Linked DNA regions of Pelodiscus sinensis. The protein of the gene in region 1 purifies or fractionates together with the protein of each later gene. This does not show direct contact. Links are inferred from orthologs where the notes say so. Each region holds a gene or a part of one and is shown in the gene's direction. Other genes may lie near its edges.

Evidence for each region.
Region 2: the proteins of CTNNB1 (region 1) and HDAC7 purify together in Homo sapiens (affinity purification with western blotting; 5 studies listed by BioGRID, with this or other methods). This does not show direct contact. The link is inferred for Pelodiscus sinensis from reciprocal best matches to the Homo sapiens genes CTNNB1 and HDAC7.
Region 3: the proteins of CTNNB1 (region 1) and GSK3A purify together in Homo sapiens (affinity purification with mass spectrometry; 3 studies listed by BioGRID and IntAct, with this or other methods). This does not show direct contact. The link is inferred for Pelodiscus sinensis from reciprocal best matches to the Homo sapiens genes CTNNB1 and GSK3A.

The regions. Positions count from the first base shown.
Region 1 is NC_134712.1:177,511,046-177,514,787, reverse strand, and holds the start of CTNNB1 (catenin beta-1), read left to right. Parts: upstream 1-931; 5' UTR 932-964; intron 965-3,742. UniProt on the Homo sapiens protein: Key downstream component of the canonical Wnt signaling pathway.
Region 2 is NC_134729.1:7,944,341-7,948,082, reverse strand, and holds the start of HDAC7 (histone deacetylase 7), read left to right. Parts: upstream 1-1,450; 5' UTR 1,451-1,838; coding exon 1,839-1,962; intron 1,963-3,742. UniProt on the Homo sapiens protein: Responsible for the deacetylation of lysine residues on the N-terminal part of the core histones (H2A, H2B, H3 and H4).
Region 3 is NW_027465888.1:163,489-167,230, reverse strand, and holds the start of GSK3A (glycogen synthase kinase-3 alpha), read left to right. Parts: upstream 1-1,291; 5' UTR 1,292-1,306; coding exon 1,307-1,508; intron 1,509-3,742. UniProt on the Homo sapiens protein: Constitutively active protein kinase that acts as a negative regulator in the hormonal control of glucose homeostasis, Wnt signaling and regulation of transcription factors and microtubules, by phosphorylating and inactivating glycogen synthase (GYS1 or GYS2), CTNNB1/beta-catenin, APC and AXIN1.

The DNA.
Region 1 (3,742 bases):
ACCACCTTCCCCAGACTCACTGCCACTTTTTTTTTTTTTCAAGGAGCGGCGGAAAGCAGGGCACCGTGTGCCTCCAGCCGGGCACAGTGTGAGCGGGACGGGGAGGGGCCGTCGTTGTTGTGTTTTGCAAGCCGCTTTCGGAAACGATCATTTTTTGTTCCCTGTTGCAAATCAGAAAGTTTAATCAGCGGTGCGGGAAACGCAAAGGCGCAGAGGGCTTGCTATTAGCTCTGCGCTCCGCAGCAAGCCTTGGGGGAAACACGACGCCACTTTCGATAGCTAGGGGAGTGTAAAAATCCCTCAGCCCGGTCCGTAACTCCTAATTCGTTGGGGGGGGAGGGGTTGAGAGGAACCAGCAGCTGATCCCTTGCCAAGTGGTTACTGCCCCTTTAAGAACAACACGCTGGTGCTGTTCCCCCAGCAGCAACTTCTCTCCCAGGCAGGAAGGAACCAGCCTCGTCCCAACCTCCCGAAGAAGGTGTCTCCGCCGCCCCTCCCCATCCTGGCCTCATCACACCTCCCTCTCGGCTGGATCACTGCTCCCATCCTGCCTTGTTCTCCACAGCGCCCCCGCTCCCGCCTGTGTTCCCAGACTCCCCACCCCCTCCCCCTTGTGCAACTCCGCCCGCCTCCCCCCAGCGCCCTCCGCAGGGGCGAGCTACCTTCGGCGGGTGGCGCACAGCTGCCCTTTGTCTCCCTCCGCCCAGGGAGCCGGGCACTATTTCTCCTCCCCCTGCCCGGGCGCTTGGGTGCCTGTGGAATGCTGCGCGCCGAGCCCGGCAGCGGCGGCAGGATACAGCCTCGCCTCGCGCGCCCTATAAGAACCTCCTTGCGAGCGACGCCATTTTAAGCCTCTCGCTTGGTTCGGCGGCAGCGGCAGGGGAGTGTCCGGCGGCGACCGACCGGAGGCGGCGGCGGCCGGAGACCAGGGCTGCGGGACCTTGCGCTCTTGCCTCCCCGCGGTGTCAGTGGCGCTTTCTGCTCATTTCCCGCTTCCCTCCCTTAGCCCGGCGGGGGAGCCGGGCGTGCGGGAGCCTCGCTCCGGGCTGTGCGGGGGTGGGAGGCTGGGGGGGGGGGGTTGCCCGGGCGGGAGGCCCGCGCTGGGCCTGGCCGGAGCGTGGGAGGGGGGGGGGTCACTCGGACACGGGGCACTGGCTCGGGGCGGTCCGGACACTTGAGTGGCCGGGGCGGCAGCTGAGGCGCCTCGCGGGAGGCTGCCGGACCGCTGGCCGGGGTGGCGGGAGGCGCGTTGTTTGCAGCCGGGCGCTGGGGTGGGAGGCCGGTCCCGGGGGCTCCGCGCTCTGTGGCGGGCGTTCCGGCGCGGCTCCGGGAGCGGGCGGCTGTGGGGGAGGGAAGCGGGTTCGGGTTTGTTTGGACGGTGTAAGTCTAACGAACGTGCTGCTGGACTGCGGCCGCTGTTATCTGTTGCGCTCTGGGCTTTTGTCTCCGCTGCGTGTTGTGCTTGCGGGAGAGGCGCCTGGTGGTGTCCCTGCCGCTGTGGGGTGTTTTGAGTAGTGGCTGCTGCGGAGCGGGGTGTAGCCCGAGCGAGTTTAAAACAACCCAACTAGCTGGAGTCTCTCTAAAGAAAGAGCGAGGTGTCTTGAGGCTTTCCTACCGGGGGAGGGGAACTTGCTGGCTTTGGATTAGGCCATTTCCGAATATGCAGCGTGTTGTGGGAGAGAGCTGATCCTTCTGAGGGGAGGCGACCAGACTTGCACTCTTCTTCTCTCCTCTTCCCCCCCCCCCCCCCCGGCTTATGTAAAACTTAAAAATAAAAGTTCAGGCATCTTTTACGTTCATAGTTTCGGGCTTTTTGCCCAAACTGAAGTCTTAACGATTTATTAAAAACACTGGCCATTCTTGGGACAGCGATGCCTTAAAACAAATCAGAAATCTTAATTTTGTTTCTTGGCTCTTTCCTTAAAAGAAACTTGATACACTAAAAAAAAACCACTGGTAGTGTCTCTACTCTTTTTTTTTTTTTTTAAGTGAAAAGGTGGCTTTCCGTACGATTTTTGGAGGAAAAGCCCTTCTATGCAATGCTAACTGCGTAGGGAGATTTTTTTGGGGGGGGATAGCAACACTGAATCAGTTGTAAACGCTGGCTGTATTTTCTTGATCTCTTCTGTGTGGGTCGTCTCTTGTTCCCGTGCTTCCTATCTTCCAGACATCTGTGGTCCTCCCCTCCCCCAAGTATGCAAGTGGTGACTGGAAAGAGGCTGGGCTGGTATGCTGAGGTCGGTGGAAGGAAGTCAAGGAGGGGTTTCAGTAAAATGGGGACTCTGAGAGTATAGTAGGCTCAGATTAGAAACTGTCCCGAATGAACAGGACCGCTTCCTCTGATCTTAAAGTTGCTTGTATTCTGTATTAGGATTTATCTCCTTTGGGCTGGCATGTGAAGTCCTATTTGGCCAAGTTACCCACCTTAGATTCTGTTAGTTAACTAGTAATGTGTTGAATGCCTACAAATTTAACACACTTGTCTTAGGCAGTTAAAATCTTTATCTAAAGACACTAGTCTGTGGATCCCATTGGCATCAATGGCAGATGCTGGATGCTTGGCGCTGTTGAAAAATAAAATTTTAGATACCCAAATCAGCTTTAAGAGCTGAACACCCTGAAATTTCACCATTCTATAAATTGCATTAATATACTGTTAAATGTATACTTTGATTTGAGGAGCCTAGTGTTTGACTGCCATTTTTTAATACAAACAGTCTTCAAAAATGTAGAACTGAAGAGACTTGTAGGCTGGCTATAGAGGTTGCTCTGACACAACAGTTAATGTTAATTTACTGCACAACTTGTGCTTCATGACTTCAGTAGAATCTACATCTTGTAGCCAACTCAGAGTGGCTTCAACTATTTCCTATTGCCTCAAGTGTCCTAAGCTTTTTGACTTGAGCTATTTCTACTTTTAAGGCATGTAAGCAAGATTTTTTTTTTTTTTTTTTTGGAAGTGTCTCTACAGAACTCAAGACTTTCATCTGGTTATGCGGTTCTAATTCAGGGTTTAAAAAATAGGGTTGTGTAACTGTGGCTGGGTAGCTAGCATTTGTTACTTCTGTGTGTTAGTTGCTGTCATTTGTAAGGTAACTTAGTTTTACAAATTAAGTGCCTGCTGCCCTGGGCTAGAGCAGGTTTATCAAGGAAAACTGTCATCATAAAGAGTGGGTGAGGCAAAGTCCTCCTTTTAAACTTGTGAGATTTTCTTGATATGCTGATCTGACTGGATACTGTCATCCACTTCTTAGAATAGTGTTAACTGAATAGATCAGATCTTATAAATGTGCCACATTGAAGAATAGCAGTATTACAGTAATTCACAGCTTTATAAAAACCTGCAAAGTATTTCCAGTGCCTGCTACACATTCTACTTCTCCCTCTTCCCCTTCATTATATCAACTTCCATGTGGGAGAGGTTCAAAACCAGTTGACCTGCTTTCTTGAGTGATTCATGCAGTGTTAACTTTCTCTTCAGTTTTCTTTTGTCTCTGGAGATACACTGGCTATAAAATTAATGCACTCAAAAAGGGAACAGTGGTTAAACAGCCATTGTAACAAATAGTGCTGTTAATCTGATTTAGAAGTGGATAGGAATAGCATTCAAATGATAAAAGGGAATTTTGAAATCTGTAGTTATTATAGTAAATATTTTGTGTATTTCTCATTGGCTTAGCAATAGTACTTGTTTCCCCTGAAGTGACCAAAAATCTGACTCTCCCTCAGGGAGATGTGCAAA
Region 2 (3,742 bases), on another chromosome or scaffold:
TCTTACTGATGTGTGGAGGGGGAGGGGGGCTGACTTTGGGAATACACAACAGTGCCTTCTGATAGTCCTACCCAGATCTCTCCAGCTCCTGGAACTGGTGCTGTGGGAGGAGCTGGGGCTGGTATCTCAGTGGCCCACTCTTTGCAGTGTCTGGAAAATAGATTACTAATCTCCCAGTTTTCTCTCTGGCTGTATTAATTCAGTCCTGTGGTCCCAAGAATTCACAAACTGTGCATTGCCCCCCCCCCTCCACTTCATGATTAGATGAAAAATAAACCTCAAGTTATTTTATTTGCCTTCTAGAGGTTGAATCTTTCAGGTGTCATGTTTTCAAATTTCCCTAAGCAGTCAAAAAGACAGATAGTTACTTCATACTGGCCCGAAGCAGCAGGGCAGAGAAGTCAGATAATCACCCCACTCCAGAAGTTGAGGCTTTTAGAAAACACCAGATATCGTGAGACTTGCCAGTCCTGGGAAGCACATCTGACTGCTCAGAGCTGAATCCTGACTTGCCATTGCTATTCTGTTGTTGGAGTCCCGCTGGCACTGTGGGAGCATAGGTGGTATATTATATGGGCCTGTGATGCCATGCTCCACCAATATTCAGGAATTTGAGCCTGTCTCTACCAATGTCTGGTATTATATTTTCAAAGTTCATTGGATGGACCGGGACAAACATTTCAGGCCCTGCATTTTGGGGGATGTGGGATCCAGGACAGCCTAGGAGATTAGCAGAGGGCCTGGCAACAGAAGCAGTGAACCCCTGTTCCCCCTCTTCCTGACTCTTGCCCCAAGCCCTACTTTGCCTCTTTTTGGTTTCTGTCCCTTCTTCCTAGCAAAGCTGGTGCGGAGGGAGCTGGTGCGGAGTGAGGTTGCTCACTGCTGCCAGCACCAGGCCTCTGTTATCCCCCCAGGCTACCCTGGACCCTGTGTCCCCCTGAAGTGCCCCCCCAAATCACGGGGCTCAGGGCGGTTGCCCTGGCCTGTCCTATGGACAGAACAGCGCTGCTTGGACCTGTTCTGGGCACAACCCCAAATTATACAAGCCTGGCATCCACGTTGGGAGGGGGGCATATGGGCGCCCCCTAAATGACACTCCAGGGCGGCTGCCGCTGGAGGAGGGCCAGCCTCGTCGAGTGACTCCAGATGTATCTGGCCCCGCAGATCCTCGGAGGATGTTGCACCACCAGAGCCTACCTTGTACAACGTGGGTGCGGACAGAGAGGCTCTTTCAGGAGGGCGAGGGCAGAGCCCCGGGAGCCGGAGCGAGCCCGGAGCCCCGGCCCAGCAGGTGCTGGGAGCGAATCCAGCGGGCTCCCACCTGCCCGGCGGGGCTCTGGGCTCGCTCTGCGGATGGAGCTAGAGCTCCAACAGCGAACTTTCCTGGCTCGCTCGCCATTGGCTGCGGCCCGGCCAATCGCGAGCCTCCTTCGCAAACAATGCAACTTTTTTTTCCTCCTCCCTGCCCTCTCGGAGCCCGGCTTCTGCGCTCGGGCTATTTTGGGGCGAGCCCCACCCCGAGCTATTTCTGCGCCTGGCCCGGGCTGGGGCGAGGCCGCCGCAGGTGGATCGGCCGCGGGAAGCCCGGCGCGGAGCGCACGGGGATGGGCGGTGTTCGCTTTCTCGCTGGTCCCTGAGAGCTGCCGCGGGGCTGAGATCATGGCACCCAGGGAAGCCCCTTCGCCCTGCCCCTCCTCCAGCTGAAGGAGCCTCCGGCAGGAAGCAGCTGCCTGGATGCGAGAGTTGCCGAGCCCGGCGCTGAGCGCCCGCTGCCTGGGCTGTGATGGCTGAGATGCCCCGCTGACCCTCCCCGGCCCGGGGCTCCGGCAGCAGGCTCCATGCCAGGGCTACATCCGATGCTCAACACCATTTACGAGTCGGATTCTGTTTTCTCCCCAGATGGAATTAAAGGCGGAGAAGCGAGTGTGAGCGTGGCCCAAGGGAGCGGCTCCTCCAGCCAAAGTAAGTGACACTCCCCCCCCCCCCCGCCGTCCCCGGGTGCAGAGCCAGGGCACCTCGCGCGGCGCTCACAGAGCAGAGCAGGGAGGCTGCGCTTGGGATGCAGAGAAAAGGGAAATGAGAAAGGAGATTGAGCTATTTTTGTATCTCCCCACATGACTAGGCCCTGCCACATGCAATGGACTTAGTCAACCAGCCCCTGGGATTTCCTCCTCTTTCCCCCTGGCTGGAGAGGAGGCCTTTAACCACTGAGAGGTGGGATTCCCTGGGTCCCATGTTCAGAGAGGGGGCAGCTCCTGGAAAAGGGGCAGGCTTTCTTTTCCCAAGAGCAGTCTTCCTGGCTGGGTATGGCAGGCAGGGCTGTTGGTGTAAGGGAGAGCCCAAGGCCTAGACCAACAGAAGGCCGTAGACTAGGGGAGATGTGTCCTCTGCCTTGCTTGCACAGAGCGGGAGTTCTCCAAGCCAGGACATCAGGGAGGCCCAGGCACCAAGTCTCTGCAAAGCAGAACATTGGGGTGGTAATTCGAGAAATCCAATCCAAGGCAGACAGGATGTTTCACCCATCTGGAAACTAAGAAGCAGGCTTTCTGGAGGTTTGTTGCTTTGCTTATGCTCTTGGAAGCCTGAACACCATGTGTCTGGCTCAGGTGAAGTCAGTCAGGAGTTGGGACTGTATCTGATGCAGGATGCCACAGAAACATCCAGTCTCATCCTGTATGATGCAAGTAGGAGTTTGTGTCTGGGGTCTTTTTTTTTTTTTTTTTTTTTTGTGGTGGACAGTGTGCAATGAGTGTTATGTCCACTGCCTGGTTCTGTAGTAGGCTGTTGTGGTGCCATCTTGGTGTCAGATGGGCTGGGGATTGTGCGTTTGATGGCATCTCTGCCATGAACAAGGAGGGTGCATTTTTAACCCTAGCTGGATGCTGCATTGGACATAGATGTAAGGGAATGTCCAGATTAAGGAGTATCCAACTGAGCCCAGTGCATCTCTGGCACCTTAATGGATGTCCTAGAGAGTGAATAATTCCCAGGCGTGTCTATGCAGGACTGTCAGGAAAATTAAGGCCAATTAAGCTTGAATCCTTGAATGAATGTTCTAAAAGATCTGGTCCTGTAATTATTGTGGGAAACTTCTGTGGCCAGTGTTATACAGGAGGTCAGACTAGAGGTCAAAACGGGCCCTTCTGCCTTTGGAATCCGTGATGTTAATGTGAATCAACCCCTGGCAAATGCTGCAGTGAACAAAGGCCGCTTCTGAATGAGACCATCCACACAGGAGTTTTAACGAGCATTAACGTCATAGCTTCATTTTAACTGTACCGAGTGTCCCCATGTAGCCAAGCCCCACACTTCAGTTCACTAACTACACAAATATTGCAAACCCAAGGATGCGCAAGCTCCTCGCCCCCAAATCGAGTACCTTAAAATCATGAAAAATAATAAACTTGGGTCTCTTTATTTGACTTCTGGGTTTGTTTTTTTAAGTCTTCAGGAATTGTATTGTCAAGTGTTTTTACAACACCTAGGAGGGGTGGAAACTTACACTTTCTTTTTAACATGAAAACTGAGAACTCATAATTGTTTGACTGCCGGAGCTGGATGGAGCTTTAAGGAAAAACATGAGCTATCATGTGACTCATGATAAAATTGCAAGAGTTGGCAACTGTGCCCTTCTTGGATGCTTTGGCTGAGATTCTTCTGTGACATTTTGTATAGAAAGGGACAGGCGCAGCTTACAGTACCTCAGAGCCCCCACAAATGGCTATTTGTAGCCATATTTGAG
Region 3 (3,742 bases), on another chromosome or scaffold:
AGCTCAGACTGCACCTCTCACCCACAGCCCTCTATGTGGCTTAGCCTGGCCCTGCCCCCGACTGCGCTGTGCCCAGGGCGGGGTCACACCTAGCACCCCCCCCCCCGTGCCCTGGGCAGGGTCACACCTAGAACCCCCCCGTGCCCCGGGCAGGGTCACATGTAGCAGCCCCCCCCCGTGCCCCAGGGCAGGGTCACACCTAGAACCCCCCCCCGGTGCCCCGGGCAGGGTCACACGGAGCAGCCCCCCCCTGTGCCCCAGGGCAGGGGCACACCTAGAAACCCCCCCAGTGCCCCGGGCAGGGTCACACGTAGCAGCCCCCCCGTGCCCCGGGCAGGGTCACACCTAGAACCCCCCCGGGGCAGGGGCACACCTAGAACCCCCCTTGGTGCCCCAGGGCAGAGTCACACCTAGAACCCCCCTGGGCAGGGTCACACCTAGAACCCCCCCTCGGTGCCCCAGGGCAGAGTCACACCTAGAACCCCCCTGGGCAGGGTCACACCTAAAACCCCCCCGAGCCCCAGGGCAGGGTCACACCTAGAACCCCCCTGGGCAGGGTCACACCTAGAACCCCCCTCGGTGCCCCAGGGCAGGTCACACCTAGAACCCCCCCCCCCGAGCCCCAGGGCAGGGTCACACCTAGAACCCCCCCTCGGTGCCCCAGGGCAGGTCACACCTAGAACCCCCCCTCGGTGCCCCAGGGCAGGTCACACCTAGAACCCCCCCGAGCCCCAGGGCAGGTCACACCTAGAACCCCCCGAGCCCCAGGGCAGGTCACACCTAGAACCCCCCGTGCCCCAGGGCAGGGAGCGGCTCCCCATGGCCCCTGGGGGGGTTGCCAGGCTTGGAGCCCAGGACGCTCCCGGACCCCCGCTCCCCCCGCGGGGCAGAAGCTTTTGGTCTTTTCCCCGCCTGCTGGGCTCGTGCCCTGGGGGGTGCGGGGGGGGGGATCTCCGGGCCCTGCTGCCCCCGCCCGGGAGCGGGGGGAGGGGTGGAAGCGCTGGGGCACCACGTGGGGGGGGCTGGAAACCGCAGCGTCCCCCTGGGGGCGGGGCCCTGCGCTCCAACAGGGGGCAGGAACCTGGAGCTTTTGACCTCAGGGCGGGGGTTCAGGAAACTACATTTCCCGGCGGCCCGCGCGCTGGAAGGGGGCGGGGCCCGGACTCCGTTTCCCGGCGACCCGCGCGGTGGAAGGGGGCGTGGCCCGGACTCGGTTTCCGGGCGGCTCGCGCGGCCGGCAGGGGGCGGGGCTAGGCGGCGCATGCGCAGGCCGGCAGCCCCCGCCCCCCCCCCGTCCGGCCTCGCCATGAGCAGCGGCAGCGCCGGCCCCTCCCGGCCCCGGACCAGCTCGTTCGCCGACACCGCCTCGGGCGGGGCCCCCCCCGGCCCCGGAGCCCCCGCCCCGCCCGGGGCCCCCCCGGGGACAGCGCCGGGCGGCAAGGCGGGGGCGGCGGGGCCCGGGCCGGGGGGGGGCGGCGGGGCCTTCCCGCCGGGCCTGAAACTCGGCCGTGAGTGGGGGGGGCAGCGGGGGGGCCGGGCTGCGGGGGGGCCGGGGGGTCCCACGAGTGCAGCGCTGGGAGTCGAGGGCCCCGGGCGCTGTGGGGCGGGAGGCCGGAAGGGCTGGGGGGGGGGCGAGTGGCCCCGAGGGGAAGGTTTGGGGGGGGGGTGATTCCCGGGGGGGCTGAGCTGGGGGGGGGGCGGAACAGGGCGGTCAATGTTCCCTATAATTTTGTGATCCATGTGTGGAATAAATGCTGCTCTGCGCACCGAGGCCTGTGCGGATGGGCACCACCCTTAGAAACACAAACCCAGCTTTGGGCGCTTTGCTAAGCAGCTGGGAGGCTGCCCAAGTGCCCAGCTCCCAGGGAGCTCGGGGGGCAGAAGGGGCATCCATTGGAGGGCGGTTTGGGATTCCTGGGTGCATTGGGCTGGAAGAGTCGTTGGGGGTCTAGGGAGCCACTGTTTGGGGAAAGGGGGCTCTGGGGAGCTGGGGTGAAGCTAATGAAGGGCTGAGGTCAGGCTCTGCTCTTGGGTCACATTAGGAGCCAGGAGGCTGGTGAGTGGCTCTCTCATTAGATATGGACAGTACGTGTTGGGGTTCAGGGGCTTGGCTGAGCCCCCCGTCTGGACACCCCATCTCTCTGCGGGGGGGTACCTGGGGTGAGGATTGAGGCTTCTCCATAGGCATTGCAGAGGCCCCCTGGGGACTAGTTGAGCAGGAGGCGCCTGGGGTGGTCACTGCCTGCTGAGGACTGTCTGGAGCAGGAGAAGTGGTGGTGCTATGGGGAGGCTGTTGGGGTCAGTGTCTTTCGGACGGAGGGGAGATGTAGGGGTTGGGGCTGAGTGGTGTGGGCAGTGGAGAGAGGCCAGTGGCAGATGTGCCCTGGGGCTGGTGGGGGGTGGGGCATTCTGGCTCTCTAACCTGGACCCTGGGAAGATGGGATCATGGGGGAGAGGGGACCCTGGCTGAGTTTCTGCCCCCCCAGTCTCCAAGGTCAGGATTGTGGGCTTCCCTGGCCATGCCTCTAACTGCCCCCTCGACTCCAAGGGACAGCAGGAAGGGAGGTGGGGGTTGGGGGCATCTCTCCTGTGTTTCTAGCTCCTCCCTTGCCCATCCCTAGCCGGAAGGGCAGGGTGGGGGTAGGGGTGTCCCTGGCTGTATCTCCAACCCGCTCCCAGTCCCCAGGGGGCAGCAGGAGGGGCCGGGGTGGGTGTCCCTGGCTGTATCTCTAACCCGCTCCCCGTCCCCAGGGGGCAGCAGGAGGGGCTGGGGTGGGTGTCCCTGGCTGTATCTCTAACCCGCTCCCCGTCCCCAGGGGGCAGCAGGAGGGGCCGGGGTGGGTGTCCCTGGCTGTATCTCTAACCCGCTCCCAGTCCCCAGGGGGCAGCAGGAGGGGCTGGGGTGGGTGTCCCTGGCTGTATCTCTAACCTGCTCCCCGTCCCCAGGGGGCAGCAGGAGGGGCTGGGGTGGGTGTCCCTGGCTGTATCTCTAACCCGCTCCCCGTCCCCAGGGGGCAGCAGGAGGGGCCGGGGTGGGTGTCCCTGGCTGTATCTCTAACCCGCTCCCAGTCCCCAGGGGGCAGCAGGAGGGGCTGGGGTGGGTGTCCCTGGCTGTATCTCTAACCTGCTCCCAGTCCCCAGGGGGCAGCAGGAGGGGCTGGGGTGGGTGTCCCTGGCTGTATCTCTAACCCGCTCCCAGTCCCCAGGGGGCAGAGGAGGGGCTGGGGTGGGTGTCCCTGGCTGTATCTCTAACCTGCTCCCAGTCCCCAGGGGGCAGCAGGAGGGGCTGGGGTGGGTGTCCCTGGCTGTATCTCTAACCCGCTCCCAGTCCCCAGGGGGCAGCAGGAGGGGCTGGGGTGGGTGTCCCTGGCTGTATCTCTAACCTGCTCCCCGTCCCCAGGGGGCAGCAGGAGGGGCTGGGGTGGGTGTCCCTGGCTGTATCTCTAACCCGCTCCCCGTCCCCAGGGGGCAGCAGGAGGGGCTGGGGTGGGTGTCCCTGGCTGTATCTCTAACCCGCTCCCCGTCCCCAGGGGGCAGCAGGAGGGGCTGGGGTGGGTGTCCCTGGCTGTATCTCTAACCTGCTCCCAGTCCCCAGGGGGCAGCAGGAGGGGCTGGGGTGGGTGTCCCTGGCTGTATCTCTAACCCGCTCCCCGTCCCCAGGGGGCAGCAGGAGGGGCTGGGGTGGGTGTCCCTGGCTGTATCTCTAACCCACTCCCCGTCCCCAGGGGGCAGCAGGAGGGGC